Linked DNA regions of Diceros bicornis minor. The protein of the gene in region 1 binds, or shares a complex with, the protein of each later gene. Links are inferred from orthologs where the notes say so. Each region holds a gene or a part of one and is shown on either strand. Other genes may lie near its edges.

What was found.
Region 2: PPFIA1 (region 1) and PPFIBP1 share a complex: the UniProt entries of both Homo sapiens proteins name them as parts of the cortical microtubule stabilization complex. The link is inferred for Diceros bicornis minor from reciprocal best matches to the Homo sapiens genes PPFIA1 and PPFIBP1.
Region 3: PPFIA1 (region 1) and ERC1 share a complex: the UniProt entries of both Homo sapiens proteins name them as parts of the cortical microtubule stabilization complex. The link is inferred for Diceros bicornis minor from reciprocal best matches to the Homo sapiens genes PPFIA1 and ERC1.

What each region holds. Positions count from the first base shown.
Region 1 is NC_080770.1:3,998,263-4,008,875, reverse strand, and holds the start of PPFIA1 (liprin-alpha-1), read left to right. Parts: upstream 1-6,456; 5' UTR 6,457-6,541; intron 6,542-6,868; exon of another isoform or gene 6,869-7,278; intron 7,279-7,749; coding exon 7,750-8,013; intron 8,014-10,613. UniProt on the Homo sapiens protein: May regulate the disassembly of focal adhesions. May localize receptor-like tyrosine phosphatases type 2A at specific sites on the plasma membrane, possibly regulating their interaction with the extracellular environment and their association with substrates.
Region 2 is NC_080756.1:35,553,114-35,563,302, forward strand, and holds the start of PPFIBP1 (liprin-beta-1), read right to left. Parts: upstream 4,385-10,189; 5' UTR 4,170-4,384; intron 1-4,169. UniProt on the Homo sapiens protein: May regulate the disassembly of focal adhesions. Did not bind receptor-like tyrosine phosphatases type 2A.
Region 3 is NC_080756.1:59,586,975-59,597,138, reverse strand, and holds the start of ERC1 (ELKS/Rab6-interacting/CAST family member 1), read right to left. Parts: upstream 4,385-10,164; 5' UTR 4,362-4,384; intron 4,340-4,361; exon of another isoform or gene 4,204-4,339; intron 1-4,203. UniProt on the Homo sapiens protein: Regulatory subunit of the IKK complex. Probably recruits IkappaBalpha/NFKBIA to the complex. May be involved in the organization of the cytomatrix at the nerve terminals active zone (CAZ) which regulates neurotransmitter release.

The DNA of each region.
Region 1 (10,613 bases):
ACACAGCCACCCACGCCCCTCCCCCAGCCCCTGGCACCCACCATCCTCCTTTCTGTCTCTGTGAATCTGATTCCTCTAGGGACCTCCTATGTGTGGAGTTTGTCCTTTTGTGGCTGGCTTATTTCACTTAGCATAATGTCCTCGAGGTTCATCCACAAGGTTAGTTATTTAAGAATGAAATTATTTCATCTGCCCCACACACAAAAAACGTAGCCTATGGTGAATATTCAAACACTGGCAAATGCCAGCAAGTATTATTGAGTGGGATTCAAATAACGTGCCATTTCAATCCCTTCTCAAGGTTACTAGCACTACACTGAATCACTGAAGTTGCCAATTTAAGGACTTTGATTATTCCTTAGAACACCACTCAGAGGATTTGTATGAAGTATACTGTGTGTATAAACTCACTAAGATTTATTTTATTTGCAAGAATGACTCACCACTGGCGGGGCAGGGTCAAGAGAAGGCACTTACAACATGTCACAGCCGCAGGCAGACTGGCTGGTTCCACGGTGGCCGGTTCCATCCCACACGCTTCCGTCCCAGTTCCTGAAATGTCAACCCTATCCTTCAGCTCCATGTGACACTGATTCCTGTCCCTGCTTTTGGCTTGATCCGTGGACTCCTTCCAATCCATAACCTCCTCATGTTCATGGTTAAATTTAATTCTCCAAAGAGAATTATAATACTTTTCTCTTTTTCTCAGTTTCTTGACTGATTTCTCTCGAAATTTGGGATTGGGAAAAAAAATCTTCCCTGAGAAATGGTGGGAAGGAATTCCTGCCTGGAAACACGCTGGGCAGTTTCTCCTCTTGTGGCCTTAAGTTGGCTGTCGCGGCTCCCAGCCACACGTCCTCAAGGGCAGGGAGCAAATAGGAAGAGAACAGTGGAGGCCACGGGGCTTTCTCCCCACACTGCTCTGTCTTTCATCAGGGAGACCCCGCACACTGTCTCTTATGTGCAGTGATGAGAACAGGGGTCCAGGCCCTCTCTTAGCCTATCAGGGGCAGAGGGGAATGAGATGCTAGCCGACTCAGACCAATCCCGAGCCTCTCCAGGGGGGATGGGCGTGGCCCAGATGGAAAGGACTTCCATTGGTGTTAATAGTGATTTCTTATACGGCCCTTTCCACTCACATAACCCTCACAGCCATCCTGTGAAGCGGCACTATCACCCTCGATTTAGGAACGAGGAAACTGAGGCCCAGAGAAGGCAAGCAACTTGCCTAAGAGTACATAGCTACGGCAAAGAGAAGCAAAGCCAGGATTTGAACCAGGCCACCCGGATCCAGAGTCTACATTTATAACTACTGTGCCAAAGCACCTTTTAAAGAGGGAAATGGTGACCGGGCAGGGAGCCAGCCAGGGGTGCCAGGGTGGTCACCCCTCATTTCCAGCCATGAGTCCCACACCGTCCCAGCATGGTAGTTAGTGTGGGTGTTATGATCTCCATCTGACAGATGAGAAGACTGAGGCTTAGTCTGGGTTACTATCTTGCCCAAGGTCATCGTAATGGTGTGGCTGGGGCTCCGGGCTAGCCCTTGGAGCATTTGAACCACCTGTGCGGGCCCCGCTCCCCACCACAGCTGGGCGTTTTTATTAGATGGCTCCCTCTGATGAACACAGTGATGTCAAGAGAAGCAAGTCCCAAGGAGCTTATGACTTGCTTTTAATATACAATTATACAGACGAAGGGGACAGAAGTCTTCACGCCCTTGCAGGAGGCCATGAAATGCTCTCAGAGCTGGTGACGCTGGGACGATGCGGTGCCTTTCAGACAAGGTGGCCGAAAGGCACCATAGACCCTTGGTGGGCATTAGGTGTCAGTGCCGTGGTGGCCCAGCATTGAGTGAAGGGGTTTTGTCCCCACCTTTGGGGGCCTGGGGACACCTTTGATGTAGCATCAGGAACACCAGCTTTGGAGCCAGCTTCTACCAAATTGTAAACTGTGGGATATTGGAGAGGTTATCCAACTTCTCTGAGCCTCAGCGTTCTCATCCATAAAAGGATGAAGGCTACACTTGTGAGGATTGAGTGAGGTTATATGGGTAAGGTTATGTGTAAAATGCTCTGCAAATGTGATTTTCTTTTTTTTTTTTTTTTTTTTTTTTTTGGTGAGGAAGACCAGCCCTGAGCTAACATCCATGCTAATCCTCCTCTTTTTGCTGAGGAAGACCGGTTCTGAGCTAACATCTATTGCCAATCCTCCTCTTTTTTCTCCCCAAAGCCCCAGTAGATAGTTGTATGTTGTAGTTGCACATCTTTCTAGTTGCTGTATGTGGGACTCGGCCTCAGCATGGCCGGAGAAGCGGTGCGTCACAGAGCGCGCACACTTAACCGCTAAGCCACGGGGCCGGCCCCAAATGTGATTTTCTTATCATCACTTCACCCAGAGGTGTCCGTGCTCTCGGGAACTGAGATGCACCAGCCAAACTCCCGACAGGCTCATCGTTGGACCAAAACTTTAGATAATTTGTTGACCGTGAGAAATTGAACTGTCATGGAAACCGGAACACTCTGGCTGATGATCTCACCTGTTCAGCAGCCACTCAGACCTCAGTTTCCTCATCTGCAAAATGCGAAGGATACCGGAACAGCCACGTGGGGAAGTATTTTAAGAATTAAATGAGACAAATAAGTAAAATTTCTTTCCCTTTCTCCTCGTTTTCCCTCCTCCATCTTAGCAGGGACACAAAGGTAACTCAAGTACAGACTCTATGGCTAAAGTCACCAAGATAATGAAGCCAGGGCCCCATCTCTTCCGCAGGGGATCGGACTACTGGGGCAGCACTGGAGACCCACTGATAACATGCTTATTCTTAGTTGTCCCTTAAAGAGACCACTCCTCAGTCGCAATAGTGTGGCAACTAGATCTGGAATCAGTAGCCCCTGGTTCACTCAAGGCTCCAGTCCCAGCTCTGCCCCAAATGAGCTGGGCGCCAGGAGGCGAAGCATTTTCGCATCTCTGGGCTTCAGTTTCCTCCTCTTAAAGGGAGGGCCACATCTTCCACCACCCACCCCCAGCTCAGAACTTCCCCTGACTGTATTGTCACACCACCATTCATTAGGCGGCTTTACATATTCTAGATTTGGGACACACTCAGATCTCTAGGACAGGATGGGCTACACTCTGTTCTCGCAGGAACCCTCTTCCTGGGCTGCTTACATTTCTAGAAAGGAGAGGCGGCCCGGTCATGCTCAAGGTTGACAACTAACCACTTCACCCAGAGAGCCCAGGCTGGCGGCACATTTGGGAAAAACACACCCCTGGAGAGAGTAATGAACTCTCCACTCCGCCCCCTTCCGTTTTACCTTATTTTCTTTATCAAAACCTTAACAGAAGAATCGGAGTGAAAACATTTTCTATGTTCATGGTTTTCCTGACTGTGGCTTACAAGGATGCTAGACAATCTCTGAAATGTGTTTCAGATAAATACTTCTGGGAAAAATTTAGGTTGGATGGTATAGATAACTGCATCGAAAAGTCATTTTAGCTTCCTGAAAGCAATTCTCCATGGTTCGTTCTTGCCTAGGTTTTGTTAGAGTAACATTTGTGGGGTTTTTCTCCCCCTAATGATAAAAATAATGCACATTCAAGACAAAATATCCGCCAAGTACAAACTATCACAAAGAAGGAAACGAAAACTACCCACAGTCCCCCTCAAAGACAACCACTGCCAACATTCTGATGTATCGCTTTCCAGGAATATATATGTATATGTATATAGAAAGAAATGTAAAAACCTAATTGAATACAGTAACAATATTTTCACACAGACATACGTTTTTCTTTGACAAACCTGAGACTTAAAATTTAATTTCACTTTTCGAAAATATTTCACGTAAAATTCATTTTATTACAATTTTATCACTTTAATAACATTCTAGAAGTTTTCAGATACAAGATAATAAATTTTACCCAATAGATTCTTCATCTAAACACAGACTGTTTTTTTTTTTTTGAATTTGGGCTCACACTGTACATACTTGTTTATAACTTGATTTTTTTTTAAGTTTTTTTCCCATTTTTAAAAATTGGGGATACCTTACATGTTAGTGTACAGTTCTGTGATTTTGACAAACACATATGGTCTTGTAACTACCACTACAATCGGGATAGAGCATCTTGTGTGTCATTAGATAAAATATGACTGTGTCACCGAGCTTTCTGTCATTTGGAAGTGCAACAATGTAACCAATCTCTTTTTGTTGGCCATTTAGGTTGTTTACAGTTTTCCTCTTGCTGATTTTTGCAATCTGAGGGAACGAAATGAAGGAATGAAAATGAATGAAATCTGAGATTCTCATATTCCTGGAGTTACACCAAATGAGCTTCTCCCTTCTATGCTTGGAAAATCGCTCATCTTCGAGACCCAGCTCAGATGTCATCCTCTCTGTGAAGCCCCCAGGATGACAGCTGGAGAGTTGGTTCCTCCTTCCTCTGTGGTCCCACAGCACCAAGTCACACCTGTTTATAAGACAGACATTGTAACACTGTTTCTCTTCTTCCTTCCAGGCTGTGAACTGAGGGGAAGTGATGTCTTAGAAAGCTCTGTGTTCCCCAAACCTAGACCATGCCTGGCTCACAGTGCTCTAAAAATGTTCACGAAATGAATGAACCTTCTACCCTGTTGAACTAAATTTTGGTATTGTGCCGATTTCTTAGAAGACAGCGTGGTGTAAATATGGGCTGGATGAATTAAGCTGGTACATTTAAGGAGAGCTGGAAATTTTCTTCTGTTCCAGACCCTGGCTCAGGTGTGCAAATTTATATTTATTTGTAGTCAATCAACAAATACTTATTGAATGAACAAATACATGAATGAAAGGAAGGTGTGGTCCTGGACCCTGGGAAGGAAGAAAGCCAATCAGAGGTTGCACTTGTTCTTGGTGAGCTGACAATGGGGAATGAAGGAATTGCCTGGGAAGGATTCACCCACCCCTCCATGCAGGCTTTACTTAGACTTGGCGAGTTCACGGGCACCTGGCTGCCTCACCACCGACAGCCAGACGGTGGCCATGGCGCCTGACAACGATGCCCTCACGTTTTCGGTGTATGAGGAGTTTGTGCTCCAGAAGTCAAATCCTGAGCAGAGAGCATCTTCTTTAATTTATTAAAAATGGATTTTTTGTGTGTGTGTGTGAGGAAGATCAGCCCTGAGCTAACATCCATGCTAATCGTCCTCTTTTTGCTGAGGAAGACCGGCTCTGAGCTAACATCTATTGCCAGTCCTCCTCCTTTTATTTCCCCAAAGCCCCAGTAGATAGTTGTACGTCATAGTTGCACATCCTTCCAGTTGCTGTATGTGCGACGTGGCCCCAGCATGGCCCGAGAAGCGGTGCGCCAGTGCGCGCCCTGGATCCGAATCCGGGCCACCAGCAGCGGAGCGCACGCACACAACCGCCAAGCCACGGGTCGGCCCAAAAGTGGATTTCGTAATCTCTGTATCTACAAGATCTAGCACAGGAATTGGCAGACAGCAGGTAGCAGGTGCTTTAAAAAGTCTGAGTAAGGATAAACTATGAATAAGAAGGATAACAACGTTTGAGAAGGATAAAAATGACCACCATTCGCAGAGCGCCCCAACCAGGTTCTCAACGAGTCTCTCTTTATAAGTTCTATTCCTATAACAGCCCTGGGGTAGATCTGTCTCCTCTTCCCATCCTACAGACGGGGCACTTGATCCCACACGGGTTCCCCTGGGTTGCCCAGGCCCACGCTGCAGGGATAAATATCTGCTGGGAGTTGAACCAGGTGTGCTGGCCCCAAAGCCTGCATTCTCGACCCAGCGCCCAGGAGCTTCGACATCAAACGCCCATCTCTGCCTCCCCGAGTACAGCAGGTGAAGTTCGGTCAATGGGCCTTGCGTAGAAGCCGCGTCCTTCCGAGTCCTGTGAGGGTCGGTTCCGAGGAGAGGCGACGCCGCGGGCTCCCCCCGGCTGCGAGCAGGTGAGCTGCACCTGGGCGCGCTCTCCAGGAAGGCGTGTGGACGTGACATTTGGGAAGTGTCTGGATGCACGCTCGATAACGGCCTTCGGAGTCCCCGTGGCTGTAGGAAGAGACCTGGGGGCAGCCCCCGAGGTGGAAGATGCTGCGGGGCGTGAGGACCAGAGGCCGGAGCCGCGGCTCAGCCGAGGAGCCCCCATGTGGGCGGGGCCTTGGGGCGGGGCTCCGACCGCGCCCAGCCAATCGCAGCCCGCCCCACCTTAGGAGGCGGCGCTTGCGCACTCGGCCGCCGCGGCGCTCTCCCGGGGCGGGGGGCGGGGCGGGCCGGCGGCGCTCGGTGCTGACGCTGCGCCGACGCGCCCGACGTCGGGCACGTTGACGCCGGCGCCGCGCAGCCGGGCCCGCTCCTCCTGCGCTCCGCCAGTGTCCGGCCGCGGGCCGGCCTTAGTGACCGGGGGCCGCGGGCGCGGGCGCGGGGCGGGCGGCGGGCGCCGGCGCGGGCCGCCTTCGTCGGGCCCCGAGCTCGCCCGGAGCGCGCAGCCGCCCGCGAGCCGCGGCGGAGCCTCCTCGCCCGCTCCCGCCGGCGAGCAAGGTAAGGGAGCGGGAGACTGAGGCCGGCGCGGGCGGAGCGGGGCCCGGCCCGTCCCTCGGCGGCCGCGCGGCGATTCCTGTCAGCCCCGGGGGGCCGGGGCGCTCCGGGCGCGGGGGCGGGGGCGAGGCCCGCGGCGCCCCCGGCGGGACCCCCGGCGGACGCGCCCCCAGCCACGGGCTCTCGGGGCCTCGCGCCGCCCTCTGCCCTGACCCCAGCGCTAGGTGACCCCAGCTCTCGGTGACCCAGCCCTGGGCGCAGGGGGCGAGGACCTGTGGCCGCAAGAAGCCCCGGTGTCCGTGGCTCTGCAGCACCTGCTTCGGATGCGAGTGGGGTCGAGGTCGTTGTCACTGTCCGGTGTGCGGTCTGGGGCATCCTCTCTCGGGGGTCGCCGAGCCCCGAGCCCCGCCGGCAGCTTCTGGACCGGCCCCGCTTCCCCTCGCTCCGTCGTTATGTTTGAGTCACTTAATAGCCTCTCGTAATCTCACCTTTCACTTTTCCTACCTTCCCAGCCGTCCACGGCTGTTATTGACCTGCGGTATTTCCATTGTGGAATTTTTTTTTTTTTTTCTGGGGGCTGTTACCTTACGTAAGTCAGGTTGACTGGCCAACCCTTGCAGCCGTTGAGAAACACCTCTCCCAGCCCTTGACGAATCCAGTTCCTTTTAGCGCTCACCAAATCCAGCCCAAGAATTCCGGGAGCCGTCAGTCCTTCCCAGGAGCTGACTGCACACATTCCTGTAAGATGCCCGACAGATTCTGTACTTGTCAGTTTGACTGGCTGTGTGCTCTTTCTGTGCTTTTCCTGAAAAACGATTGGGTAGCGTCTGTTTTGACTTCCTCTCCCCCACCAGGAAATAGAAAAACAAGAATAGGTTACAGAAGCACACTTCTTTTCAACAACTAGAAAGTACACCCGTGCAAACAAAATGCCACAGGGTTTGTTCTTTAACTGAGGCATAGTCGTCTTTGGTCTTGACCCCATGACTGGATTGTTGTCTGTGTTGGTGTCTTGATCTCAAGTGTTCCGACTCAGGGTTTGCATGCGTCTCTGTTCCCAGCGCACTTATATACAGAGCTTAACAGTCAGATCTGAAAAGAGTGAGGCTGACAGCCGTTCATGGATTAGCTGCAGATAGCTATAAAGTTGCAGATTTGTGGGAGACTTTACTTTGCACTTAATGACTGTAGTTTGGGTCTTTTATTTCAAGATGATGTGCGAGGTGATGCCAACCATCAGTGAAGCAGAAGGCCCCCCAGGAGGAAGTGGGAGCCATGGGTCCAGCTCCCCTTCGCAGCCAGACGCAGACTCACATTTTGAACAGTTGATGGTGTCCATGCTAGAAGAGAGGGACCGTCTTCTTGACACACTGAGAGAGACTCAAGAGACGCTGGCATTAACCCAGGGGAAATTACACGAGGTTGGCCATGAAAGAGACTCCTTGCAGAGACAGCTCAATACTGCACTTCCACAGGTATGGATGCTTTTCACCTGGAACTTGACAGATGTTTTTCCACTAAATGTTGTTGTATGATGTCCTCTTCTATGGTATTACTATCTTAGATGAGTATTTTGCGTAACCATTTGTGAAATGGTGGTTCTGATATTTGTAAGCCACGTATAGATAAAGTTCCGGAGGATTAAACGTCTTAGGGAGAACAGACTCTGTGGTGCTCTAAAGTCATGTGAAAATACCTCATAACTCTTGTTCCTTCCTTCGGGGCAGCAGAAGGAACTGCCTAGATTCAAGAGAGGGCTCCAAAGTTTTTGAAATAGGGCCATGGGGCAACCAAGCTCTGTGGTGCCTTCCGATCTATTGGCTTAAGCCACTTCTTGTGAAATGTGTATTTCCCACGGGTTTATCCTGTATTTCCAATTACATAATGAAATTTAATGGACAAATAGGATTGATTTCACAGAGAAAATATTTTTGCAGTCTGCCTTTATTAGAACACCTGTGTTTTCTAAATGAGATTTGTTTCAGGGGCTGGAAGGCTGGAGATTGACTCCTTTGGAACTGTCTCCGTGGCAGGTGTGAGTTACGAAGCTTAAAGTCACACTGAGGTTGCTAGTCTGGGTATGTTGCATTTGGACCAGTGTGTCAAAGCCTTTTCTTCTGGAGCTGAGTGAGGGTTTAATGGTGGGTGAAGGGAGAAAGTGTCACCTAGAGAAGTGGAAGGTACCGGCACAGGGCATGTGGGAGATACGTGGGTTTTGGGGTGCCTCTGAGCTGTCTGGGGGCCTTTATGGTGCTTTCGGGTGGCCTGAATGAGCGTCTGCTTGTACTCTCCTGATGGGTCTGCGGTGGTGAATTAGGAAATGAATAATTACCAGCCTTAATGCGTTTCTTGGCTTTAGTCAGTTCTCCTGAAAGATTGATAAGCCAAACATTTGGATTTCCTTTTTGGCAACAATAATTTGATATTAGTGCTATAATGTTCCTTTTTTGTTGAGATAGAGAATCATTACGTTTTTTCTCGTTCAAATCTTATAAATTACCAAGTTTGTTTAGGTCAGATTTTATTACCACAAGCTTAAAAGGATTGGCCAAATTATGTTTTACCAGGATTTTAATGTATTCGTAAATCTTTTCAGTAGTTTTGTTTGTTTTTGTAACTGTGTTTGTTTTACTGTAATTTGAGGTACATACACTGAAGTGTATATCAATTCTTCCATATTTGATAAGGTAGTTTTTTGAGGGAATGAGCTCAAGGGACAGAGCAGGGAAGGGCCAGTTTGGTGTGTACGGTCTCAAGCAGTGGAGGCTGTCCCACCAGCGGGAGGAGACAGTTGCTCAGTGATTTGTTTCTAGCGACTGCTCAGGGTTGTAGCTGGAGATGCCTCGTTGAGTGGAGAATGTGATGATGTCGGCAGTTCACCTGAGCACCACGTCCAGCGTTTCAGCAACACAGGAACCAGTAAGTAAGCGCTTTGTGGGACCCTTCCCTTTCCTGGCATTTGTCTCAGGTTTGGTGGCTGATATTGTGACCAGATAGGCATATGGTGAACTGACTGCATTTGTTCTCCTGGCCCATTATGTAGACCAGTCATACTGTGCTTATACAAAACTTAGCTATAACACATCAGAAAATTTCACAGTCATGAGTGTACATTTCATTGAGTCGCTAAGTGAACACACTCGTAACCACTGCCTAGATTATGACATGAAATGTTACCAAGCTTCCCAGAAGCCCCCTCCTCCCTACTCCCAAGAATTGTCCCCCAAAGCTAACCGTGGTCTTGACTTTTCCCTATAGATTACTTTCCCCTGTTCTTGGCCATATAAATGAAATAAAGTGATGTGTATGTTTTGTTTCTTGGTTCTTTCATTCAGCAGTATCTTTGTGGGATCCATTCGTTTTGTCTCATGTAGCTTTCTTCATTCTCATCTCATCATCCTGGCTATGAATATACCATCATTTATTCTTTCTACTGCTCATGGGTATCCGGGTTGCTTCTAGTTTTTACAAGTGCTGCCCTGAGTATTCTTGCTTCTTTTTTTGGTGCAGTTAGTACATTTCTCTTGGGGGTGTCCGCAGGAGTGGCATTGCAGAGTGACAGAGTGTGCATTTGTTCAGCCTGAGTGGACGCTGCCCACAGTGGCGGTGGTGACAGTTTGTACTAGCACCAACAGTGAGGGAGCCCTCCGTTGTCCTCCAGCGCTTGGTCTCGTCAGTCCTTTCATTTGGCTGTCTGGTGGCCACTGAGTGGAAGGCAGCTTGGTGTGGTGTGGACTTGCTGCTTCCTGATGACCAGGAACGTGCAGAGGCGGAGCTTCCCTGTGCGTGTTTATTGGCCGTTTAGAGATCTTCTTTGTGAGATGATTGTCTTGCCCGTTTTTCGATTGGGTTTTCTCTTTTGTTTCTGAGTTGAAGGAGTTCTTCTTATATATTCTGAGTACACATTATATATTCTGAGTACATGTACGTATAGCAGATTTTTTTTACATTCTTGTGTATGTTTGCCTTTTCACTCCCTCGGTGTCTTTTGATAAGCAGAAGTTTTAAGGTTTACGAAGATCAGTCTTTTCAGTAATATTTAATGCTTTGTGTTCATTGAAAGATATTATCATGA
Region 2 (10,189 bases), on another chromosome or scaffold:
CCTAATTCTTCCCAAGAATTACCTTGCTTGCCTAAAGAATTTGGCCACTTATTTATGAATGGGGAGGGACCTGCCACTGAAAATGGCATCTTTACTCTCTCTCTCACCAGGTAAAATTAAGTTTGCCCTTGTTAACACACACACACTAAGAATCAGCACATCTGACACCTTGAACTTGCATCTGTTTTTATGTCAAATGCTTGATTTCCCTAAATTAAAGGAGAGGTGAAAATATTAGCCTTACTCTGGAGTTCAGAGGGTGTCCATAAAATCTACAGCCAACCCCAAACATTATAATACTTGCTCTTCTTCCTCCACGATCCGTATTTGAGACATGAGCCTTTGCCAGAATGATGGATATTCAATGCAATTCGAGTTTGTAAAATTCCCTCAGTCATGGACATCTTTAGGTGCACCACTGTACAGAAACCACCAAATGATCTTTCTATTCTGCATTCACTACGTTTGCCAACAAAAACAAGGATGTGCATGTGGGCCAGTCAAAATGTGAGTCACACCAAGTTCTAGGGAGACACATAACCAAAGTTCAGTCACAAACTGACAACACACCCACCTGGGCCACTAAGAGTCCAAACCCACATTTCAGAAATAGAAGCTCTTTAACGAGTACAGACTGGTACACGTTTCACTCAGACCTACCTCCACCCCTAAAACTGCCTAAGAAGTGTGCAAACTTAAAACTCTGGCAAGGGCCCATTTTTTAATCTAAAATCCAGTTGTTGGGTGTTTTAGATCCTTCAAAGTGGAAAAAAATATTTAAGTAAAAGAAACCCTCACTACTTGGCTTTTTGAAACATTATCAACTAATGCCAACCTGGCATGAATAATTACTATATTTAAAATAAAGAGTGTAAAAGAAATACAAGAGTTTTTGTATTTTGTAGGGTGGGTTAGTTCAATTTAGCTTTTTTAAGCCACTAGCTCCATTTAATAAAGCATCAGTCTTTGTGGTGGTGATACATGTGACAAAAGCTGTAGGCTTTTTAACTGGGAAAAGGGTTCTGACATGCACTGCGATGACTTTGAGAAACAAATGACATAATACAGACTCAAGGAACTGCACAAGCCCAGAGCAGTTTTTGGATGGTGTCAATTTTGGGACAGTTTGACAACAGATTTAATTGTGAAATTATTAACCTTTAGTTGAAAGGAAATGCCGGCCAGAAGACAGACACTTTGTTCCCCTTATCCCCAAACAACACCCAGCGTCGCTAACCTTAACAGCTTTGAATTTCATACTTAAATTCATCTGTTCAACCATGGTTAAAACATAATCGTAATCACGGCTCCCTGAAAAATTTCACAATTGGCTGCTCAACTGTGATTTTTCTCCCCTTAATTTCAGAACTAATACGACTTTTTAGGGAAAACTCTGGGAATAAGAAATCACCATTGTGCAATATCTCTTGCCTATGTTTTCACCTTGAAGCAGTGTTTCTTTAATAAAGAATCAATACACAGACCCAAATGTGAATGGATATACATTCACTCATTCCCTCATCCATTCATTGTTTTGAAAACGTAATTCAAAACCAGGTCAGAAACATGTAATAATATCTTTGAAAAGACAGAATGATGAATGAGGTCTTCTTTCCATTAACAGTTTAAAAAACGTGCTATTTGGGATATAGGTACTTTTAAAAATGGGAGACGAAAAACTCAAAAAGGTAATTTTAATGTAACAAATTACCAACATACTCTAAATTAAGTACAAAAATACAAATATTTCATGAATATGAAAGACAGGTCTTAAAAACAAGTCAGCTAGTCAATAACTGAGGGGAAAAATGACCTTGTTCTGATTTATCTCATGTTGGTACAAAGAGTGACAAAGACTCCATAACCAGAACAGAGTTAATGAACTCTCACCGAACTTGTTTCCAAAAAATGTTTACGATGCCCTTGAAATTAGGCACTACTGATCTGGAACTATATTGTGCCTGGATCTCAAGTCAACATTTGTCCACAAAGGCCAGATTATCCTATTGTTTTAAAGCAGCTACTAGAACTATGAGAGCTACTGGTCAAAGAGAATTTAACCAAAACCTGATTCTACCTCTCTCAACAACACATAGGTCTTTCAAATTTTATCCTTTAAAAGTACCGTGTTTTACTACACCACATCTACCTCATAAACATGGACCAAGATGGAGAAATACTGGTTAAATCTAAGCATGTAAAATGACTGTTATTACTCAAACTGTGAATAAAATTTAAAGCTTCGGCATAATCAAGTCCCTAAGCCAGGGCTGGTTTTTTGGAAAGAAAGCATAAATCTGAATTTGGTACATCAGGGTAACATCATAAAGATGCTCCTTACTTGACTGGCTATGAGGGACTGCAGTCTGAACACCTCATCAGCCACAGGCTCCAGAGAGCCCACATCAGCCCACAGGAATTCCACATCATCTCCTTCTCCATCCTACTGAAAAAGTACCCTGGAAAATACAGTATGTTTTACGTACTTCCTATAGAATATAAATAGAAAAAACTTGTTCACCATTATTTCAGAGCCATTAGGCAATTTCTGTTTCCTAACCCAAAACACAAACCAAAATTAAAATGGTCTGGCCTTTCCAGTAGAGCACACCTTCCCTTTGCAAAGAGCCTGCTTTTATCCACCCTGTACTATTTCATTCTTTTAGGAACTAAGAACAATACAGACCCGGGTGTTTTATAAACAACAGCAAAACAAAACACTTCTTTCCAGCCCTGAAACCTGTCATCTGGCTAGAAAGATGGAGAATTCCATTTATAAAGTCCTGTAACTTCACACTTCCCGACTTGGGTTTCTTAGATGCAATGTTGTGCCTTCTTTCTTTCCTCATCTGGAAATGCCCTTTCATTCAGGCACCTGGGATGCAGCCTTGACTCACAATAGAGTCCACGTCTGCCCGTTTCCTCCTGATCTGGTAACAGAAGGATCCTCACTGCTGAGGAACAGAGGTGAAAGAAAAAGGAACTTGACTCAGGAATCTCACCCATACATTTTTTTTCTTCTCCAGAGCCTTAAGCACTGAAAAGTGAGGGTTCTGAATCAGTTGATGGAGTTAACTTTTTGCCCCTGAAAGTCAGTCACACCCAGTTAGTGACCTGGGCACAGAAAATCTCCCAGCAGGAGAAAGAAAGGGTTTGAAACAGAAAATAAAAAAATCAGAATTCTATACTTCCACTTCTGAAAATCTTCCTCCCAACAGGCAACTGCTTTCCCTAAATGCCAAACTGGAACGCTAAATCAAGTTCTCCTTCTACTGCTCTTTGCACTTTCTTACTGAAAGGAAGGATTTGTTTTGGCTCCACATGTTGAAAAATTCATGTTCCTATAATTAAGAGTTTGTGTGCCACACCTTCTGGCCACATTTCCCTGTTAAAACTCTCTTCTCTAAAAATGATCCCTGAAAACACAACTACCAGCCCTGATCCTTTTCTCAAGTGGCCACAGAAAACAGATCTGAAGATTCTCAGCAGCCTTCCCCAACCCTCCAGATCACTCAAGTGATCTGGCACTCAATTAAAACATAAGAGTGAAAAAGAGTTGGAGTTTTAGAAGTGTGCCCCCAAGAGACGGGTTCTCCCACAAGCTCATAATTAATACACCCCAAGTGAGTTTCTCACATCCTGACTGGACTATATAAAAGGATTTATGATGTTGATATATAAGACTGTATAAGAATAACCATAATACTCTTTCATTTAAATCAGTATGTAATAGGTCACAGGGGAACTAAAAAACACAAAACTTTTGTTGTCTCAAAGAGCATAATTTTTGAGTCGACATTTCATAACTTTTTGTGACATTTTTAAATAACCACACACACACACACCCGCACACAGACACAGACACACACTTCTCTGATTGGGGTTCTCAAGTATTACTGGGAGAGAGACTAGGGTGCGGGGGTCTAAGGACACAGACAAGACCTTACATGTCCAATCCTGGAGGTATTTTTCACATATAAACTAGTCGGGACCCCAGGAGTAAGCCCTACCCCGTGCACCACCAAAAGTGCCCTTTCCCACTGGGAAACAGGAGTGAGTTGGAAAAGGAAATCGACCCGGGGAAGAGGAGGAGCAGCTGCAACACCCAGCTGCAACCACACAACGGTGCCACTTCCCTCCGGTCTCCGAGTGGAGCCGAACGCCCTTACCTGGGGGGTGGAGAGCCGCTGGCACTAGTTCCAGAAGTTCTGGTTCACCTTCCGTCGGAGTTCAAAGCCCCAACACTGGAGCCCCGCAGCAGGCTCGCAAACCCCAATCCTTTGCCGTCCGGCCCCCGCCTTCCCCACCCTCTCGGCCCTACACCATGTCAGGAATCCGGGCAGGCTCCGAGCTGGGAGCTGACATCACTCCCAGTTCCAGGTACCTCCCCCTCCCACTGCCGCCTTCTCTCCTCCCTCCCTGCAGGAATTAGCCAAAGAGAGTCCGCAAGGGGGTGGGGTCGGCCGCGCCCGGGCTCCCGCTGATTGGGCCCGGGGACAGTCACTCAGAGGAGTCAACTCATTTTATACATTCCTCGCTGAGCCAGACTAGGGCTGGAAGTGGGTGCTGATGGAAAAAAAAATGCTGCCTTTCCTGCTATCTCTAAGGAAAAGGAGATAATGGGATGGGGGAAGAACCTTGCGGGTCCTGTTAACTTTTCTTGGCGTATTTACTATATCCCAGATCAGAAACGAAACTAACCCACCCGTGCCCCCTTTTTAAGGAAAAACAGTTGCCTCTGTGTCACGGACAAGTACGGTCTGCCGGCGCGTGGAGCGGAAAATGGCTAGCTTGAAGTCATGCAAATAAAGGAAAACGCCAGCTCGCTCTTCTACCCTTTTATCTGGAGACTGCTGAGTGTTCCCTTAGACGAGGAATTTACAACTTCAAAAGCACTTGGGAAGATTTGGAAAGGAATCTCAGAAACGGCGACTCAGCAATGAATTGTTAACTGGTGGCGTTATCAACCATGTGGCTGCTTTTGCGTTTAGCGATGAAAATCACTCCACCCGAGCTTTCAGGCAAATAAAATTGAACCTCCAAAGTAAGAAAAATTACTATTTACCTTACTCAGGACCTTAAGGCTGCTGTTTTCACGCACAACTGAAGGGGCGGCGGCGGGGGGGGGGGAGGATCTCACAATTGGGTTCAACGAGGCACATGAGAATAATTACTGTTGAATAGAAGCGGTTGCAGAGGCTGAGCTATCAATTAAGAATTAACTAACATTTAAGCTTGACGGATATCATGCTGTATAGTCCCCTTGGCTAGCAGAACAGAATGCTTCTCAGGAGATGGTCCTTTCAATATGCCCAATATCCGATTCAATGCAGAACTGAAAGGTGAAAAGTGGCTCTATTGACATGAGATATAAGTAACGCATTATCCATCATCTTCTGGAAGGACAATGAATTAATTATTGACTTTCTGTTGGTTTTTATCGTCTGGGTTTTTTTGTTTTTTTTGTTTTTGGTGAGGAAGATTGGCCGTGAGCTAACATCCTTTACCAATCTTCCTCTTTTTGCTGAGGAAGATTGGCTCTGAGCTAACATCTGTGCCCATCTTCAACTGCCCATCTTCCGCTATGTGGCATACGGGACACTGCCATAGCATGGCTTGATTAGTTGTGCCTAGGTCCATGCTGGCGTCTGAACCCGTGAACCACACGCCGCCAAAGCAGAGCGGGCGAACCCAACCACTACACCACCGGCCGTCCCCTTTATTGTCTGTTTTTTGATACATGACAACATGTCATGCATTTCACCATTCTGCTAAAAACTGTAAAAGGATGCATGGAGTCCAACATCGTGTCTCATTTAATCCTCACAACCATCCTGTAGAGCGAGTATCATTAGCCCCATTTAACATAAGGAATCAAAGGCTCAGCAAGATTATGGCAGTAAATTGCTTCAGAACACCCAGAACTGGGGTTGAAACTGAGGCCCATGTGACTCCAAAGCCATTTTTTTCTCTTTACTCTAAAGTGGTGATTGCTCACAATCTACACCCATTCAAACACTGTCATGCAAAAAAAATCCACAGACCCACTCTATATTAGTACCATGGTGCTGTTTTTCAGACCTACACAATTCCAAGCTCCTAACATATTTCTGATGCCATTTTTCCCCAGCTCTTGGTCCTTCTATGCACCACTACCAAGTGAGTTTTTAAAAACTATTTGGTTTTGCCATCAATATCTTCCCCTCCACATTGGGCCCCCTTTTCCCTATAATTCTTAGCCATTTAAAACTCTCCTAATCTGGCCTCTATTTACCTTTCCCACCTTATCTTCTATTTCACTCCTGGGAAATCCTCTGCTGCAGTCAAACTGGTCTACTCACAGATCCCCACTTGATTCTCACCTTCTGGCCTACGTGGAATCCCCATTCTTCTATGTGCTGTCACACCTTTCTCTCAAAGCCTAATTAAAGTTCTTGTCCTCACTGTGTGCTACAGTGGACAGAAAAAGGGCTTGAGGTCCATAGCTGGGTTCTGCCACTTACTTGCTGTGTAACTTTGGCCAAGTCACTAAAACAACCATCAGAAACCTCAATTACCTCTTCTGTAAAAAGGGGCTGATAATACTCACATCAAAGGTTAATTGAGACTGTATAGATGTGTAAACATATGATTGTATATGTCCAGTTGTATACATTTCCTATCTTCCCAAACCCTGAAGAGCAAGCTCCATACTTAATACCTCTTTGTATCCTTTATACCCAATTCAAGGAAAAAACTCAATAAAAATACAGGACTACAGAAAATTTATCATCATGTCACCTCTAACCCCCTCCATTCCTTAAAGGTACCCTACCTGCAAATAATCTTATAGCCAGAAACCATAATTATCTCTTTTTTTCTCTCTCCCTCTCTTTTTATGCTTTGGCCACAGTCCTTCCCTTTTCCCACTCTCCCACCATTCATGCAACAACCCTTAACCTCCTCAGATATTTTCTGCACCAGCCACTTAACCTGCCTCTTAGCCACTCATCATTCCCTCTCCCTCAGTCAGGGACACACTTGTCTGTTGTACCTGTTGCCTGCCTTGCTCCCTAAGTGCCTTCAGCCGTGGCTGGGTGGCTACCATCATTCTTCCAGCCCCAGTCACAGGGTGGCTGCATCCAGGCTCACAGCCTACAACCAGCAGCAGATGGGGGAGGGAATGTCCCACCGCCACAGAGATGGCAGGATAGAATAACAGGAAGTTGCCTCCCATCCCCTCTGCAGCTGGAGTGATAACAGCTGCCATCAGAGTCCAGAAAACAAAAGACTCAAAAGGAAAGCTGAAAACAGTCCAGGGCTGGGTCAGTAGGGTTCAAACCAGGGGTTCCAGAGTGGGTGAGGAAGGAACCAGTGAGGGAGACTTCAGTCTCCTCTCCACCCCAGCTTTCCCTCCACCTTAGTGTTACAGCTCCTCTCTGTTCTACATTTAGGCTCCACTATAATGCTTCATTTTAAAAAGAGAGTCTAACACTCAGATAAATATATTGAAACCACTGGCCTTGGTATCTTGGGGAAGCCCCAAAGGATCAGGACAATGCAGCAGAAGCGAAATAGGATACCTGCTGAGCAGATACCCAGAGTTTACCCACTACCCTGGATTCTAGCTGGCTTAATGGAAAAGTTTACACCTCCTGTGGTTTCAACACTTATTAGCTCTGTAGGTCTAGATAGCTATTTTCTGCCTATGAATTTTGCCAGATACTATCACTGCGGGGTGGGGGAGAGGAGGAGAACCTGTGAAAGCAGGAGAAAACCTGCAGAGAACAACAAAAGTAGAACTTGAAATGGACCCTAAAGGTCATGTGACACAAGCACCTGTTGGATGCAAGAACCCCTCCTACGGCCCTCCTGACAAGGAGCCTTCCAGCCCCTGTTTGAATTTATCTGGCAACAAGGAGCACACGAGCTAGGAGAGCAGCCCACCACTAAAGATCTTTCTCCTAGGGAGCCGGGTCCTGCTTTTCTGACTCTTGCCCCAAGACCTCTGTCTTGTGTCTCACTTAATTCTCACAACCATCCTCTAAGGTGAGCTTTATTAGCCCCATTTTAACATAGGAATCAAAGGCTCAGCAAGGTTACATAAGTAAACTGCTCCAGAACACCCAGAACTGGGATTGAAACCAAGGTCTCTTTGACTCCAAGCCATTTGTTCTTTATATATCTAAAGCTTTGATTGTCCACGGTCTATCCTTTTTCAGTTCTACCCTCTAAATAACAGGAAGCAGGTTGACTCTTTTTGTTACCCCATCCTCAAGCCTGTGCAGGCACAAGGACGCATCCCCTACTTACTCTGTTTAGATGCAGATGCCGGGAGAGGCCCACCTGACTCATCAAAGTGTGTCATTTGCCTGTCTGGTCTTTATAGGCTTCCAGCTACAGCTCTCTACAGCCCAGTCCTGATCACTCTTGACTCCTTTTGAAACACTTGAACATCTCCCCTTCACCAAGGAACAAAACCCAAACTCTCTTGACTGGCATCCAAAGGCCTTTACATCCAGCCGCCAACTTACCTTTCTGAACGTACTGTCCACTCTGCTTCATACTCCTCAGTGCACAAACTGAATGACTTTGCACCCATATTCTCTAAGAGTGTTTCCGTGGTTAAGGATGATTTTTGCCCATTACTAAAATTCACCTCACAGTGTTGTTGCAAGGATCAGATGAGATGTCATATGCAAGATGACAGAGCATGTTGCCTGACACATAATAAGTCATCAATAAACATATTTTCCTTTTTCTTATGACATAAAACAACTGTACTATTATTTTTATATATGGCTTATGTCCCTTACTGACAGTAAGTTCCTTACAGTCCTTGAAAGCAGGATGCTAATTTGTTTCATCTTTACATCCTTTATGGAATCTAGAACAATGCTTTGTCCTAGACATTCAGTAAAAATTCACTGAGTGAATGAATGAATGCTTTCTTTTGCTTAAAACTTCTAACCTGCTGTGGGCTAGGCCTTTAGAAGTTCAGGAACAACTCGACCAGAGTGATTTTAAAGAATCTGGATGCCTCAGATTTTTCTTATCGCAGACATGTTGCAAAACACAGAGTGTGTTGAACACATGGTATAAATCATGAACCCAAATTCAAATGAACCAAACTTAGCTTCAGAGTTCCTTCTAAAGGAAATTGCTGCTTATTCTGTCTGATTCTAAGCATGGCATTGGTGATAACCCAGACATCATTTTAATATCCTTTCGCTGGATACTAAGCCACTACTCAGCTATCACCACTGACATCATTTATGAATCCAACCCTCCTCCCCATCCCCTTCCTGCCAATGGACACGGGTTAGAAATAGGCCCAATATCTTGCTCCAAGCAGAGTCTTATTTTAATCACTCTTGCCTTGCAACCCAGATTGTGTGGGTTATTCTCTGGTTACCTGCCAGATAAATTAAAAAATCTAGTTACATTCAATTTACCCATTTTATTATTCTATTTATAAACTGAAAAACATTTTTAATTAAAAATAGAGACTATTGCTTTCCATGGTCTTTGATTAATGTTTAATTAATGGCTACATTAAACAAATTAAATTCCCTTAAACAATTAACCCCATTTACAAACAGAATTAATTGAATTTCCTAAAGAGTATGTCTGATTCCTGTACTCTGAGAGGCCAACAAGATAGATGAAGAGTCAGCCCTTCCAATACATAGCAGCAAATCCTATTCCATTCCTTTGCAAATGATCTGCATGGCATTCTTCCTAAGCAGGCTGCGGCCTTCCCCAGGCTTTTGGGCCTTTCCAGGGGTGATAAGTCGCTGCCATTCCTCCCTACCAACATGCATTGTGCACAGACCTCTTTAGAGGTCCTGGGAACATGTTCAATCAACAGCAGAGCATTACTCATAACCAGTGACTTCTACCTTGATTTTCACCTGCCACAATACTGAGTAAGGCTCATTTTTCAAATAAGATATCATGGCTCACTACTAATCAAAATTTACCCGTTTGACATTGTGATGCACCCCATTCTCTGGACCAGTACCACATAGGATTCCCAGGCCTCAGATTGATCCACTAATTTCTGCTGCAACCACCTTTTCACCTGGACAATCATTAATTTATTGTTGCTTTATTCAGTCTCTCCTAATCCTTAACTAGAATTCTTCTACTTACCTAGAATTTACATTTTAAAATGGCATGTTAGACTTCAACCTAGAAACTTCTAAGG
Region 3 (10,164 bases), on another chromosome or scaffold:
ACATGAAGTGGGACTATAACTTCCTCATCCTTAAAATGAGAATAAACTGAGTTTTAGACAATAAAGTAACTTACTCAAAGTTATACTGCTAGGAAGTGACAGCAATCTGTAGAGAGTGTAAGCACATTAATAATGTAATTATTTTGCCTTTTTAAGGCACACTTTTTAACAAAAAGGAGGAGTGAGACCAACACCTCATGCTAGCACTCAACATTCCAGCCAGACCAAACTATTTTCAGATCACTCAATTTGCCCTACAGCTTTCTTGCCTTTGGGTTCTGCACATGCTGTTTCCTCTGCTTGCATCCTTTTCATTTGGCCAAATCCTGCTTATCCTTAAGATCTCATCTTAGATCTACCCACAATCCAGTTTAGGGATCTATCCTATGAGCTGATGCAGAATGCTGTATGTTACCTATTAAAGCACTTATCACCGCAGACCACAAACTCCTGTTAACTTTTCCTCTTCTCCCACTAGAATGAAACTCCTTAAGAATAAGAGACCCTGTCCCTTATTTATCATGGACTCCATCTGGCCTAGCCCAAAACTTGGAACACAAAAGGTACTCAAAATTACTTAATAAATGAAGGAAAAATAAAAAGAAGATGGTTAGATAATTAAATCATTTCACAACTATTCACTCAACCAAATAAAACATTATCTAATTTGACTTTTACAAAAACTTATGCTTCAATTCAATGAGAGAATATTAATAGTACACATTAAATGGCTTCATTGCCATTTAGTTGGTAACAAAAGTATTTCACAAACATTTTTCCCACACAATATGCAAAACAAAACTTAAAAACCAAAGGTCAGGGGAGTAACTGCTAATGGGTTTGGGGCTCTTTTTGGGGCAATGAAAATTTTCTAAAATTGATTGTGGCGATGGTTGCACCAAAAAAACTGAATTGTACACTTTAAATGGGTGAATTTTATGGTATGTGAATTATCTCTCAATAAAGCTGTTATAAAACAAAAACAAAACACCTACAGGTAGCTAGAATTAAATTATGAAAACAAATATTAAAGATGCAAAAAAAATACCTAGAAGATAAAATACTTGTTATATTTAGGCATTTTAAAATAGCTAAATACCATATTATTGCAAAAATTTCACTGGTTAAGAAAAACAAGAAATTGAAAACAATGACTGCCTTCAAGAATAACTGGATGGGACAGGAGAGACTTACTTTTCCCTGTGTACTCTTTTACATCTTCTGATTTTAAAAAAATAAGTATACATAACATTAATAACAACCAAGTCATATCTCTCCTTAATACTAGTAAACATTCCCAGGCTGCCTATTTTGTTCTGAAAAGAATAAAGAATGAAATATATTTTAAAAAATCACTCCAGGGAAGTAAAAAACTGAAAGATTCTTACATTTGTCTCATCTCCCACTGAAAAGCATTTAGTCATTTCTCTGTTACTAGACATTATAATCAAGCAGAATTCTCTCTTACCCAACACTCTGACACATCTTTAAACAATGACACAGTTGATCATTCCCTCCTCCTTGAAACTTCCTTTCCTTCACTTCTCGTACATCACACGCCCCTGGTTTTCCTGCTAACTCAATGACCTCTTATCATTCTCCTTTGCTGGGTTCCTCTTTACTTCCCCAGAGGTATCTAGAAGGTAAGTTCCATGAAGGTGGGGATTTTTGTCAACTTTGTTCACTACTGTATCCCCAATGTCTAAAAAAGTACTTGGAACCATAATAAATTACTGTTGAATGAATAAATGAATGAATCAATGCCCTAAGGCTCAGATGTTGAAGAGCCATAGAAAAAAAATCATATTCCACATAACCTTTATGCTAAGTTTACTTTATTACATTATATTTCTCTTAAAATTGATAATCAATGTACTGGTTATTATTTGATTAACCAAAATACTTCATTCCTGGTCTTTCTCCATCAATATTTTTGATACACTATGTGTAAAACACACATTTAACAGCTCTTATACTAGTTCTAAAAGCATAAACATATCGTAGAGGAGGAGCAGTTGTTGCTAAAAGCTTCAATTGTTTTCAGTATTAATGTTGAATTAACAGACTGACATATTTATCTTAATTTAGTAATTTAAAAAAAGGAACACCTGAGTAGACTCAACAAGGATATCAGAGTAACGACTAAAAAGTGACATTTCTTGAAAGATAAAAAGTAGCGGGTTTTTTAGGTATAAAAAATTCTAAAGAGAAATAGATCACTTCTACCTTACACTTTCCCTCAAATCATATATTTCATTCCTACAAGAAGAATAACATCCCACAGTCAGCCATGCAAATGTCATTTTAGCAATATACGCACCAAGTTTCACCCAGTATCTTAGTTCGAATTTGTCTCGTGTACCCAATTAAATCACAGTAAAATTTAAAAGTCAAAACTAGACATATGAACTTTAATTTTTCCATCAAAGTAATCCCAAATCAAAACTATTCATTGTACCAACTTATAATTTGATCTGTCTGAATACAGTTAATTAAATCTTTTATTTATAATTACAAATTGGACCACACCCTTTCTCACTTAATAGCTATTATATCATCTGCTTCCTATAAGTCTCTTCAAGCAGAAGTATTTGCTAGAAGATAATAGTCTGCTCATTAAGTAGGCATGTTAAAAAAGGCAATGATCTGCAACTACTGACACTCACATCTGTATATTTCTCTCTTGGGTGACAGGAAAGCACTTCTCTGGCTATGTTCCCAAATAAATTGAGTAAGCCTTGGGAAAGTCACTGCTTAAATTCCATTTCATGACGGTTTCTCTTCCTCCATAAATGAATTATTGAGAGTCATGCCTACTTCCATCCATTACATAATACATGTTCATTACATGACCTGTTTTCTGAGCAAGAAATAGCTCAAATGACACTGATAGGTAAGGTCAGTGATTATTAGATAGTATAACCTAATAGGGAGCAGGAGTCCAGAAAAGAAGATTCTGATTTGATGTGCTAAGTTGTGAAACACTGATGTGAAGAACACTGAACGCTGTTTACTGTAGTAACATCTCCCTATGAAGTGACAGACACATGCCCCCAAAAATGTTATTAAAGAGCATTTTAAAAGCCCTTGACTCCAAGAACACTTCTCAGAAATTGAGAGGTCTACCAGAAAAAAAAAATTATTCCACTTCATTTTCAAAGTGTCTAATAAAGACATCTGCAATTGAGAAATAAAAATAATCTCAAATAATTAAGTGCTGAAGACTTAAAATGTCTAACATCAGGTCTATTGAAAAACAAGCTGTAAAAGACAGCAGTGCTTTAAAACATTTAAGCATTTTTCATATAATTGGCTTCGACAGAACTGTTCAAATTGTTCATTTATCTATCCAAAGCAGTCAACCACAACCACCTGCAACTATTACTCAGAAATGTGTCTTCCAAAGCAACCACTTGATTCTCAGGCCTTCTCGTAAGGGACCAGAATAAAGCTAGTAAAAGAGATGGTATAAAGAGACCTTTCAGGTACAGAAAAAAGACTGGAAGATAACACCTTTAAGGAACTAAGTGTAATGGGACCTATTCCTTTATGTTGCTGCCAGAATGAAGTTGTCAACCCAAGATATCACTCTTCTTGAAGGGTCTAAAACTTCAAATCCATCCACGCTCATAATTTACCCACTCCGAGCCAAAAGCAGAGAGATTCTCCTCCCCCCGGGACTCACCCACCCACCCCCCGCCAGGATGATAAAAAGAAAAATAACCAAAACCCTAAAGTAGAAATGTCAGACCGAGTGCAATCGCTTCTCCAAATGCCTCAAAGGCAACATCCACAGCTCACCTTTTTGAAATACAACCCTTCACCTCCTATCTTACCATTTACACAGAGGGAAAAAAAAAAAAGAATTCTCACCTCTTTCAACATTTTACATCAATCACCTAAACCCAGATCTACCCTGACCGCACCCCAACCTCCTCATGGCTCCCCAATTCCTCCATCTCGCCACTACCTCGCCCGCAACATCACGCCTCATAAACCTTCCCCGCTCGGTTCTCCGAGCGCCCAGAGCCCCCGTCTCCCACCTCCCGCCCCGGGTTCCCCACATCTATCGCCTCAGCTCCCGTCCAAACCCGGAGCCCGGCCGGGTGGAGCCCCCCGGTGGGCTGGGGTGGGGCCCGCCCCTCCCGGACTTCCCCATCCCCCCGGCAGGGAGCGGAGGGGGAGGGGGTCCCGAAGCCTCACCTACAGCTCCGCCCCTGCCCGGGGGCGCGCTGCCCTGCCCTACCCAGGGCCGTGAGGGAGAGGCAGGCGAAGAAAAGGCAAAAGCCTCAGCGCCTGCGAAGGCGGGAAGCTCTAGGGCCCACCCGACTTCCGAGCTGCCGCCACCGCAGCCGTCTCACCCTCCTCAGCGCGGCTGCTGCTACCGCCCGGGCGCCGCCGCCGCCGCCCCCACCACCACAGCCACAGTACGGCCCCGGCGCCCGCAGACGTCACCGCGCCCCGCCCCCTGCGCGAGACACCTAGCACCGCCCCCAGGCCCGGCCGCGAGGCGCCGCGAGCTCCGCCTCCTCCGGGCCGGGCCGCCTCTGTCTCTGGCAGCCTCCTGGGAGTACGGCTCGGCGGCCCGCTGGCATCCGGCGCCTCCTAGGGGAGGGCGGCGAGGTGACGCAGGGTCCCGGCGGTGGCCGCGCGCCGAAGCAGAGTAACGGGCACGGGGCAGACGCACGCACACCCCCACACACACACACACACGCGGCCCCTGAGGCCGCGGGAGGGGAGAGCCGCAGCCGGCTCGGGAAGAGGCGGTAGGTGGGAGCGAGGCAAGGCGGCGCTTGTCTCCTTCTGCTTGCCGTAGGAAGTGGACGGGCCAGGCCCGAAGAGCGGAGTCGTCGCTTTCCCAGACCTTAGAGCTGCCCCACCCCCTCCCTCCCGGGGCCGTTAGACAAACCCCGGGGCCGCCGGCGCCGTCGGGGCTAGCTCTAAGGCTGTCAGTACGTTCCCGGTTGCGCGCCCGCGGCCGCAGTGGGCACCCTTTGTCCAGGGAAGTTGGATTTTTCCCCACCCTTAGCTTTGGCCGCGGAAGCTAGTAATATGATCTGAGGTACTCGGGACTGTCCACACGGCCCTAAGGAAAGAATTCAGGCGTCGTGGAAGAACCACGCCAGTGTGCGTCGTTTTTCTGTAGTGATTGTCGCAGGAGAGGAGAGCGTGGGCGGAAATTAATGTGCAGGTTCAGTACCTGCGATGTGCCAAATGCGGTGCTACAGTGTCTTACTGAGTCCTCACCACAGCTAGGCAAGTCTACCAGGCAACTGGTACCTTGTTTCAGGCAAGCCAGTTCTCTTGTGCTGAATCGCAGTCGGGTTTTCTTTTGTCGGAACCATGCAAAGAGGGTAACTGCATCCATTAAGGATGTCGATAAGCTATCTCTAAACCAAGAAAGGAAGAGTGATGTGAATTGTATTTATTCCCAGCGCTCCAGTGTTCATTGAAATAATTTAAAATGCCCTTGAAAGGAATTGAGTCATCATTTTACCCCTACTTTCCGCCACCGCAGTTAACCAGTTTACGCTCCCTCATAATCCTACTAACATTTTCCCGTTTCTCCTCAGTATTCACATTCATTCTTCACCAAATTCTACTGTTTCATCCTGCCCAGGCTTTCTAGTTGTTCCCTCATAGGATCACCACACACTTGGATTCTTGCAGGTCCCTGTCCTGCTGTACAGTCGCCCCCTTCAGCACATTCAACATATGGCTACCAATTGTTAGGCTGCTGCCAGAGAAGGAGACTGACTATATGGCTCCCAAATAAGCAACCTGAAATATTTCATTTTCTTGGGCATCTAGCTATTGGCCCAGGAAAAGCCATCCCTCTTTGACTGTTTTTCAGGATCTTTCTCATCTGGCCGCTGATGTGCCGGTCCTGTTACTCCCCAGCAGAGTGGTGAGGTAAAAAAAATAATAAAGTGGAAGTCATATCCTTCTAGTTTTCATTCTGCCACTCTCTACTTATGCGGCCTTGGGGAAATCACTTTGCTTCTCGGTCCTACTTTTCTTAACTGTAAAATGAGGTGTGAACTAGATGTCTGAGATCCATCATAGCCCTAAAATGTGTAGATCTGGAGAGTTTGAGATGCTATGCACTAAGTTATATATACACAGGAATACTGTCAATATCACAGACTCAGAATTTTTCTTTTTTTTGCCATTCCACTGGTTGTTTTTTCTTATTTCCTACTCTGCCTCAGATATCTTTTTTTTTAACCTACATTTAGGATTTTTTTAATTAAAGCTGGCTAACTGAGCACATACATTCATTGCCTTTTCTTCCTGAGACCCCCAAATAAAATGATAATTAAAAAAAATGATGCACACTCATACAAAATAGAAAATGGGAAGGGGGCCACCAAAAGATAATTTATTTTTAAATTTTACTCACAGAAAGTGAGTGCAGTCTGACTAAACAAAATGGAAGGAACCATAGTGTGGAATAGGTGTAGGAGGTGCTGCAGCCAAGGAAGGGGGCCTCTCTGCCAGAGATGATTTAGGGAGACTGAAATTTGGAGACACAGACAAGAGAGAGCAAGCGTGAGAAGCAGGGCTGAAAACACGGAGACTAAATAAAGGTTTCTATACAGAACAGCAGAACCCTCTGTATATCTCAGCTACAATAGCTAGGCAGTTATCCCAAGCTAAAAGTCAAGAGTTCTATAATCTCTGGGGAGGACTTGGGCAGCTATTTGCGCGTTTAATGACTCAGAGTAAAGCATTCTTCATTCTGGCACAATAGCCAGTTTCCTATCCACTTACCCTAGAGTGAAGTTGTGCAAGTTCAAAAGACCCTCCCAAGTTCACAAGATTCCTAATCAGTATTCCAACTACCTCATCTTAAATATGAACAGACACCAAGGATTATTAGATATTTAAGGGAAGTCTCCAATTTGTTGGGGAGGGGGAGGATAAAAAGAAAATGTGACCACAGAGGAAACAAGGGAAACTTCAGAGAACTTAAAAAGAAATAATTGAGGGCCAGCTGGGTGGTGTAGTGGTTAGGTTCGGGGGCTCCACTTTGGTGGGCCGGGGTTTGCAGGTTCAGATCCCGGTTGCTGACCCATGCACTGCTTATCAAGCCATGCTATGGCAGGCATCCCACAGGGAGATGGGCACGGATGTTAGCCCAGGGCCAATCTTCCTCAACAAAAAGAGGAGTATTGACAGTAGATGTTAGCTCAGGGCTAATTGTCCTCACTGAAAAAGAAAAAAAGAACTAATTAGTATGCTTACAGACTTATATTACATCTATGAAATAAGAACAGTATGTTCAGATAAATTAGCAATCCAAAAATAAAAAGTAGGTCTTGAAATTAGAAATAAGAAATTGCTAAAATTATAAATTCACTTGAAGTGTTGAAACATAAAGTCAATGAAATTTTAAAGAAAATAGAAGAAATATGCAAAGAGATGGAGATTGCAAGAGAAAATATAGAAGAAATAGAGAGTTAATCCAACAGGACTAATATTACAAAAGAAAGAGAAAATAAAGTAAATAAATAATGGAAAATTACCCTAAAAGTAATGGAAGAAAATTTTCCAGAGCTGAAAGCATCCACTAGTGCAGAGCAAAAACAAAGAAAAAACAACTTTGTGAAATGTTATAACTCTAAAGATAAAGAGAAGGTCCTAAATTTCCAAAGAGAAAAAAAAAAGTGACCTATAAAAGAACAAGAATCAGGCTAGCATTAGAATTCTTAACAGCAACACTAGATATGAGAAGATAACAGGCAAAGACCTTCAAGTTTCTGAGAAATGTTTTTTGAACTTCAAATTCTAAGAAAAAATTTTTAATTTTCAAAAAAACCCTCTATACCTAGCTGAATTATCATTAAGTGAAAGAGCAGAATGAAAATATTTTCAGATATGCAGGGACTCATTAAGTTAAACTCCTATGTACCCTTTTTTGAAAGAGTTACTTGAAGATGTGCTTGAGGAAAATGAGGTAGAAAACAGGTATCTGACAACATCATATCCAGGAATCATTAGATCTAATTCAGGAAAACAGTGAGGAAAAGTCCCAAGAGCAAGGCCAGATTGGAATGGAAGGATAGGAGTTCTGGGAGAGAAATCTGAAAAAGAGAGAATTCAACTGAATAATTAATTACTATGATAGAAAGCTTAGAAAATGCTGTTTTCTGGCGTTCAACTTTTAGACTTGACCTATTAATAAATTATAGATAATCTTGCTGTAGTTAAAGCATAGTTTATAAATTATATCAATGTTGACAATATAAAGGTAAAAGTATAGCTGACAGTTTTAGATGTGGAATGTAGGGAGGAAAGGTAGAGGTAAAGGTAGAAGCATTCAAGAGATTGTGTGTATAGTTGGCAGAACCAGAAATGGTTGTTAAAATGTATTGTTAGAAGTAGGAAAACTAACCATGGAGAAGCAAGGAATTATTAGGCTATACTGAGAGGATAGGAAGACATGAGCGAAGTACAGGGTTTATAATGAAGCTAAATCATCATCTATCTAGGTAGTTCATCAAGAAATAGTAGCAAAGACAATATTAAAATGGCAGTACTCCCCTGTTTGTTCTATAGACTCTATGCAATCCTATCAAAATCTCAGCTGCCTTTTTTTGTGTGTGGAAATTGACAAGCTGATCCTAAAATTCACATGAAAATGCAAGGGAGGGGCTGGCCCCTTGGCTTAGTGGTTAAGTGCGCGCGCTCTGCTATTGGCGGCCCGGGTTCGGATCCCGGGCGCGCGCCAACGCACCGCTTCTCCGGCCATGCTGAGGCCGTGTCCCACATACAGCAACTAGAAGGATGTGCAGCTATGACATACAACTATCTACTGGGGCTTTGGGGTAAAAATAAATAAATAAAATTAAAAAAAAAAAAAAAAAGAAAATGCAAGGGACTCAGAATAGCCAAGACAATCTTGAAAAAGAACAAAGTTGAAACACTCATTCTTCCCAATTTTAAAACTGACTACAAAACTACAGGAATCAACATAGTGTGGTACTGGAATAATGATAGACATATATCTCAGTGGAAAAGAATTGAGAGTTCAGAAATAACCCATACATTTATGGGCAATTGATTCAATGGGAAATAGTTTTTTCAATAAAGCTGCTGGGACAATTGTATATCCACATGCAAAAGAATGAAATTGGGGGGCCGGCCCGGTGGTGCAAGTGGTTAAGTGCTCACGCTTCATTGCAGCGGCCGGGGGTTTGCCAGTTTGGATCCCGGGCACGCACTGACACACCGCTTGGCAAGCCATGCTGTGGCAGCGTCCCATATAAAGTGGAGGAAGATGGGCATGGATGTTAGCCCAGGGCCAGTCTTCTTCAGCAAAAAAAAATAATAAAAATAGAGGAGAATTGGCAGATGTTAGCTCAGGGCTGATCTCCCTCACAAAAAAAAAAAAAAAAAAAAAGAATGAAATTGGACCCCTAATTCACATATACAAAAATTAATTCAAAATGGATCATAGGCCTAAATGTAAATGCTAAAACTATAGTACTCAGAGAAAACATAGGTGTAAATCTTTGTGACCTTGGATTAGGCAATGGTTTCATGTAAGAAAGCACAAGTGACAAAAGAAAACAATAGAAAAACTGGACTTCATCAAAATGGAAAAACTGTTATTTGTATTATTGAAACTGGTGGACAGTTATTAATGATTAGATAGCTAGTAACTAAAGTTTTTTTGGCAATTATTAATTGTAGTCTTTATTTATTCACCTGTTCATTGTTAGCTGTGCTGCTTATTTTTAAAAGACAAGTAGACAGGCAATATATTATCCAACTCCCACTAGGTTCCTCATAGATAACATCTCCCTGACACTTGGTCACCATGGTAACAGATGCCTGAGTTGTTTTTCAGGAACTAAGAGTTGACCCTTGTCCTGTTTGGGCCAGTCAAGATCACCAACCCACCAACTGCGCCTGTGCAGGTGTCTGATAGGTGAACTCCTGACATCAGGGAGGCAAAAACTCCACCCCCAGATCCTGTTAATGCCACCATTTTGTGAACATGCATCCTATGAAGAGCCAGGAAGCTTGACTGTGCTTCTCCTTATCTCCAATCATCCATTCCCACATTTCAGACCACCCTGCCCCTTTTCCCATAAATATGCCTAGTCCTCATTTTTGGGGAGGCAGATTTGAGAGTTGTTTTCTCATCTCCTCACT